Linked DNA regions of Tribolium castaneum. The protein of the gene in region 1 purifies or fractionates together with the protein of each later gene. This does not show direct contact. Links are inferred from orthologs where the notes say so. Each region holds a gene or a part of one and is shown on either strand. Other genes may lie near its edges.

The links.
Region 2: the proteins of cdc42 homolog (region 1) and Spec2 purify together in Homo sapiens (affinity purification with mass spectrometry; 4 studies listed by BioGRID and IntAct, counting the BioPlex papers as one, with this or other methods). This does not show direct contact. The link is inferred for Tribolium castaneum from reciprocal best matches to the Homo sapiens genes CDC42 and CDC42SE2.

The regions. Positions count from the first base shown.
Region 1 is NC_087398.1:3,193,645-3,197,622, reverse strand, and holds cdc42 homolog, read right to left. Parts: upstream 2,638-3,978; 5' UTR 2,346-2,637; intron 2,082-2,345; 5' UTR 2,070-2,081; coding exon 2,005-2,069; intron 1,957-2,004; coding exon 1,734-1,956; intron 1,117-1,733; coding exon 829-1,116; 3' UTR 502-828; downstream 1-501. Other genes in the region: protein FAM76A, read left to right, coding at 1-183; mnd (Y+L amino acid transporter 2), read right to left, coding at 2,837-3,232, 3,285-3,609, 3,665-3,978. UniProt on the Homo sapiens protein: Plasma membrane-associated small GTPase which cycles between an active GTP-bound and an inactive GDP-bound state. In active state binds to a variety of effector proteins to regulate cellular responses. Involved in epithelial cell polarization processes.
Region 2 is NC_087396.1:23,112,645-23,115,655, reverse strand, and holds Spec2 (CDC42 small effector protein homolog), read left to right. Parts: upstream 1-1,380; 5' UTR 1,381-1,541; intron 1,542-1,673; coding exon 1,674-1,756; intron 1,757-1,802; coding exon 1,803-1,938; intron 1,939-1,986; coding exon 1,987-2,007; 3' UTR 2,008-2,503; downstream 2,504-3,011. Other genes in the region: Cox4 (cytochrome c oxidase subunit IV), read left to right, coding at 382-579, 631-823, 870-1,006. UniProt on the Homo sapiens protein: Probably involved in the organization of the actin cytoskeleton by acting downstream of CDC42, inducing actin filament assembly. Alters CDC42-induced cell shape changes.

The sequences.
Region 1 (3,978 bases):
ATGAAAAATTGCCAGAAGGAATGCGACGACAAGATTGAGGCGCTGAATAAGCGCATCACCAGTCTCTTGAAGGAGGTGGCGAGTTTGTCGAAAAGCGCCAAGAAAAATAAGTTTGTTAGCGCTTCAGCGGCCGAAAATTCGAACAACAGTGGCAGTGGCACCGACAGTCCCAGCCTTCAGTAAACGGTTTTTTAAATAACTGTTCGTAAAAATGTATAGTGCGGTTTAACGATTCGGGGTCGGCTGATAGTCAATTTTATTCTTCGGTTATTTATTACGGAAATTTTAATATTTTATGGGTCGGTGACAGTAAACGGCCCTTATTGGCTAATGTAAATTCAAACGCCCCTTTGGAATCGCACTATATATCCGTTTGTGCACACACATACATATTTAATTTACGTCTGTTATTATGTATATGTCGACCATGTGAGTCTTAATTAATTGAATAAACTAGTTTTATTAAAATCTGGTGGTAGGTTTCTCAGCCAAACAACAGTCTTATATAATAAATGATTTATTTACGTTATGCAAATTATTGCCGAAAGAACATAACAAAATGTTAGAAAAACACAAAAGTTACGAAAGTGGTAAATTCGCAGTCCTTGAAGCCATTTGGATGTAATACTGACTTGTTCCTAAAAGCCTTTACATAAGAAGAAGTAATGATCTCGAGTGTCGTTTGAGCTTCAATAAATGGAAGAAGTTATATACCATACAATTGTTTTTAATATTTAAACTGTTAACAAAAAAAAAATAAAATAAATATATAATTTTGTCCTTAACTAGTATAAAAATTGTAGTATTCCAATCGGGTTGAATTACTGATTACAAAATAACACACTTTTTACGTTTAATTGGTTCTGGTGGTTCCAACGCGGCTAGAATAGCTTCATCGAAAACATTTTTCAGACCTTTTTGCGTTAAAGCCGAACACTCGACATATTTGACCGCTTTTAATTCTTTAGCTAACTTTTCTCCCTGTTCCACTGATATCGGCTTCTGTTTGTTTTTCGCCAACTTTTCAATCGTAGCACCATCATCGCGTAAATCGACCTGCGTTCCGACTAACAGGAACGGCGTCTTCTGACAATGATGAGTTATTTCGGGGACCCACTGAAAGCAAAGCGAGCATTTCTTAACATCGTTGGAAAAACTAACGAGCATCAGTGCTCCAATACTTCCCAGTTTATTAATTAAAAAAATAACTTCAAAAACATATATTTAACTAATGATACGATGATAATTTAAATAGCAAAATGAGAATCGTGGAAAAAACGTGTGAGAAAAAAGCCATTTAAACTTATCTTTGTGGTTGTTAGAGGAAGTGGTTCTCCAGTTAACAAAACGAGATTGTTTCATCAAATTTTGTTTACAATTTACTTTACCTTTTTCTCGGGTGTCTATGCACTCGCATACGCTCGTTGGATAACGACCTATAGTTATATGGTAGCACACATTTTTTAAAATAGCCCAGGGCTTTACAAAAATTGCCTTAAAACTTGTCTTAACAAACTTGTTTTTTTATATTCTATTTGTTCACTACTGTTCGCTTGTTTTTATTTATTTAGTTATGATTTATACAGTGATATGTTTGTCATACTTTAGATTGAAAGTACGGATATTTTTCCGGTTTATTTAAGTTCTAAAAAGCACGTGCTTTAGAACCGGCTCTGGCAGAAACACGTGGGACTTCGATTGAGTTACAAGAGGCTCATACTCAAGTGACTTACTTTTTCCTTAACATTTTCAAACGAGGACGGACTCACTACAGAAAAGCACACTAAGAAAACGTCAGTCTGGGGATAACTAAGAGGTCGCAATCGATCGTAATCTTCTTGTCCTGCAGTATCGAACAGCCCCAATGTGTAGGGCTCGCCCCCTATCATGACAGTGACCGCATAGTTATCAAAGACTGTGGGCACATATTCCGATGGGAATTTGTTAGTAGTGTAACTGAAACAAACCATTACCACCTCAAACAGACCAAACAGGAGCTGTTACCTTATCAGGAGGCAGGTTTTACCCACTGCGCCGTCACCCACCACCACACATTTAATTGTTTGCATTCTTCGTCCTTGCTGTAACAACAATTAATTATTAGGACACGGAACACTTCCGAGAATTGACAATGGCGTTCCTTCGCTCTCCACGAGGCTAGGAACGGTTTTAAGTCACGAGCGGCGTTCAAAAAGCAGCAAATTAACACAAACGCCCGAATTGTTCCAGGAATAAGGATATCAATCATAATGATCTGCCATTTTGAGTTGTTGGCGTCATTTTTTCAACCAGTTGATACCACTAAGCTATTTTAACGCTAGTAAAAACGAGATTAGGGGGATTACCTATTCAGCTTGAACGTCCTATAAATGTACAATAAACCTTTATTTTTATATTCCTAGAATTTTTGGGTTGGGCTTATCCTAAAACACCACAAATCACACCAACTGACGAATGACCATAGAGTGCGCACAAGTCAACTGTCACGTTAAAAACTGGGAAAAATTAATACGGGGCGGAAAAGGACTTCCCGAACCCGAATTTTTGAACTAGTTTAATAAACGGAAAAATTGTCGATGATTACGAGAGGATTCTATTTAATTTTGATAAAAGTTGTCTCATTGAGAGCGCCACCATCGATTTAGGTTAGTTCAATTGGGATTTTATCGCGGTGTGGTTGGAGGAACTGTCCTTTTTTTGAATTTAATTTATGGAAAAAAACATCTTACAAAACATGTTTAATGAATAGTAATATACAAATAAATATTTCTTGTGTCAAAGCATTCGAAAACAATTAATACTATTTAGATCATTTTTACATATCATATGTCTAACTTTAGGACTCCTTGTCTTCGTATTCCGTAACACACAGGAAGAGTTTGGCGCAGCCGTTGTTAAACTCGTTGAAAATTTTATTCAACCAATCTGGTTTATTCTTCCAAGCGATCGTAACTAAATAAACAGGAATTCCGCAAAAAATGAAACCTAAACCTACCCCTACCTCCAGGGGACTAACATAACAGGGAAAAATGACAAGGAAGCCACAAATTAACAAAAATATTACAGGAAGAATAAAACTGATTTTAATCGGCCGGTGCATATCGGGCCTCTTCCACCTCATATACAGCAGCCCCGTCACACTTATCGTGATAAAAAGGGCCTCAACGAACGAAACGTAGTTAATAAGAACGTACACATCTTCAATCATTACAAGGGCTAGCGTAATGATGCACTGTAAATACAATTAATGTAAAATTAGTGTTTTATTACGGAATTATGGTTACCATAAAAATTAGAGATGGTACAGGGGTCAGTCTTTTCACATCAATGAGTGCGATAGCTCGTGGCAAGTGTCCAGCACGAGCCCCCACGAAGAAAAGGCGTGACGATGCAAAAATAGCACCGTTTAACGAACCAAACGTGGAACAAGCCACGAAAAACGGAATGAAAAACGAAAACGCGCCCAGTAACTTATCACCAAAAGTAACAGCAACTGCATCTGACGCCAGAATATCATCCCTGCTCAAGACAACAAAGTACGCAAGGTTTGTCACAACGTAAATGACGGTGACCACTGGCATCGATATACAAATTGCGCGAGGAAGGTTCCTGGAACAAAAACAATGATAATAAACATAGCTGTGTTAGGGATAATAAAACCCACTTGTAGGGATCTTTCAGTTCTTCGGTAACATAGTTGAGGTAATTCCAGCCCGAGTAGGAGAACAGGCCGGAATAAAAGGCCAAGGCAATGTACCCGGGCTGCCAGTTGGTCCCTTCCATGGGGTCCCTGAAATGCTCGACGTGACCAATGCATAAGTAGTACGCTCCAGCTGCCACGATAATGCACAGGGCGAAGATTTTGGTGGCGGTGAAGATGTCTTGGACCCGTGTCACCCACTTGACGTTGTAGCAATTAATCAGAGTTAGTAGACAAACGGCAGCGGCTGCCAGTAATCGCACGGCTTCGTACGGAGG
Region 2 (3,011 bases), on another chromosome or scaffold:
CAATTTTGTAATTTTCCCTTCAAGTAATAAAAAATCCATTGTTTTTTTTAGTGTTTTATTTTTGCGCGGTTGGCGTGTTGTTACTTTACATGCGCAGCGGAAGTGCTCAACTCGGCCATTTTGCGTAGAAGTTTGCAGGTGAGTTTTTTATTCAAAATAATTACACTTTTTGCTTAATTATTCAAAACAAGTCTCTCGATTGCTTCATTCAAACGTTGCGTTGTCGATAATTCCGTAAATAATGTCCCTTTCGATTTAAAATCGTTACATCAAGTTGTCTCTTGTCACTGGTGATTACCTAATCAATGTCAGTTTAAATCTTTGAACCCACGAAAAATCGCCAATTTGGGACGAAGCAGTGATTACGCGACTTTGCAGACGATGGCAGGGCGACTCTTGTGTATGAGGGCTTTGCCCGTGCAGAAGACACTCGGGAGGGCCTCCATGAGTGACATGCGATCCATTATTGGAAACAGGGAAATCGTTGGCTTTGGGTTCAACGGACAGCCGAATTACGCCGACCGCGTGGATTTCCCCTTGCCTGCCATCAGATGGAAGGAAAACACCCCCGATATTCAAGTAACAGGGTTAAACATTTTCTCATTCTTGTATTAACAAATTCGGTCCCAGGCCTTGCGCGAGAAGGAAAAGGGCGATTGGCGCAAGTTGACCATCGAGGAGAAAAAGGCCCTTTACAGGGCGTCCTTCTGCCAGACCTTTGCTGAGATGAAGGCACCAACAGGCGAATGGAAATCTATTGTCGGGATCTCGTTCGTGTTGGTGGCCATAGCGTTGTGGGGCTTCTACGGAATGAAAACCTTCGGTAAGGAGCAGGATTTGATTAGGTTGGTGCTAAGTAAGGTTTGCAGTGTACGCTCCTCTGCCTGAGAGTTTCAATGAAGAAAACAGGAGAGCTCAGCTCAGGCGTATCATCGATTTGCAGATTAACCCAGTCCAGGGACTTTCGTCCAAATGGGATTACGAAAAGGATGATTGGAAGAAATAAGTTAACTTAAATTTAAAATAATTTGAATGGGTTTTTTGTGACAGCCTAAGAATTCATTCATTTGTATTATAGTAAATTTAGCCCCGAAATTATTACATGGTGTAATAAAACTGTTCTTTTTATTATTTTTGTTTTTTTGTTAAAATTCATTACTTAGAAAATTCTACGGTTCACTTTACGTATTGTACGTAATTTTTGCCAATTAAAAAATTCATAACTTAAAAACTATTGAGAATTTGATGATTTTCTTGATGCCAATCGATTCCCCGGATCATTTTACATGACCAAGATTAAAATGGTGCCACATTTTTGAATAGTTTAGACGTAATTGAGAAAATAAAATTTTTTTGAAAATGGTCAACTGAGTGGTGTTGGCAGCAGTGTCGCTGCAGTGTTGGCAACGCCTTGTTTTGACGTGCCCGACCTTGATGGCGACTAGATAGAGGTTGTGTTCTCAGTGCTGTGTTCTTTGTAATTTTAGTCCATAGTTCCTTCTATATTTAGCTTAATAACATTTCATACTCTTGAGACGGGGGTGAGTAACGAATTGGCGACGTTGCCAAGCCGCTGGCCCACATAAAGACCGCAAACTTATCCTGTTTACATTGTCTCCGAGATCCTTATCTCAGTTTGGAAAAACACAATTTAAGCTACACAACGCTTTTAGATGGCTGCTGTGGGCGATTTGTGGGTGTCCTGGTTCAGTTGTTGCGTGCAGCAGCCCCAAAAACGGCGCATTCGAATCGACAGGTAACCCGCAACTGTGGCCAATTTTCCGTGAAAATGACTTTTCCAGATCAATGATTGGCTCCCCGACCAATTTCCAGCACACAGGCCACATCGGGAGCCGCGACGTGGAAATGCCCGGGGACCAGCTCGTGGCCCTCCAGAACCAAATGAAGAGCAAAGGCGGCTATGAGACAACGTACAAGGTGATTCAACATTTTTGCCAATGTGCGCTAATGAATGATTTTTTGCAGGACGTAAACTGGTGCCAATGATTTTGTTATTATTTATTGTGTGCAAGTGCGACTGTTTTATTTAAAGTATTAGGTCAAATGTGTGTAAATACGTGTATGTAAATAGGACTTCAGGTGGCAATATTTGTATGTATCGGAAACCGCATTTATTTGTATCATTGCCTTAGATAACGCACTCTAGGAATTTTCCATTTTATCATGTTGGTTGTTATCATTTTACAAATGGTGCTCTTGTTATCAGTTTTTTATTGATTTTTCGTAGCTAGTTGAGCCGTGCCAAAAATCTGACTAAGTTAGGTATTTTTTTAATTGAAACCAAAATTGATTGTGATTTTTTATTATACTACTGCGAGCAATAATTGCCTTTTAACCTCTTGCTGGAAATGACGTTTCCAACTCGCCTTAACGAATTGAAATATTTTTGCACAAACCTGTTAAAGCACAAGTATTATTCTTGATACTGTTATTGTACTTACTAGTGTAAATTTGTATCCGTGAATAAATTATTATTAGTTGAGTTTGCGTTTTTTTTAATATCCATATTAAACCACCCTCTCAACAATGGAATAAATGAATTATTGTAAAGCTCTTTTAATTAACTATCATTTTAAAAAGGATCATTGTTCTCCGAATCATAGTTTACGAGAAAATTTTAAATGAAAGAAAAAATAGGTGAAATATAAAAAAATTCATAACTAAAAAACTATCTGGAATTTGGTTATTTTCTCGATGCCACTCAATTCCCCTGATCATTTTACATAGGTTTACATCAAAATAATTCCACTTTTTCCAATAGTTTTGCAGTTTTTGTGTAAATTTTGGATCCGTGAATAAATTACACGAAATGTCGATAATAAAGGGAGCACACCTACCGGCTCCCAACTGTGGGAATAAATAACACAATTCGATTTTTACATTATTGTACTGTAAATTAAGCCCAAAAAACGGTATTTTTTTTCGAAAATTGTATAATTTAGTGCCGTTTTTGGGCTCAGCAGGGCGAAAAATGGGCCCGGTCTAGTGAA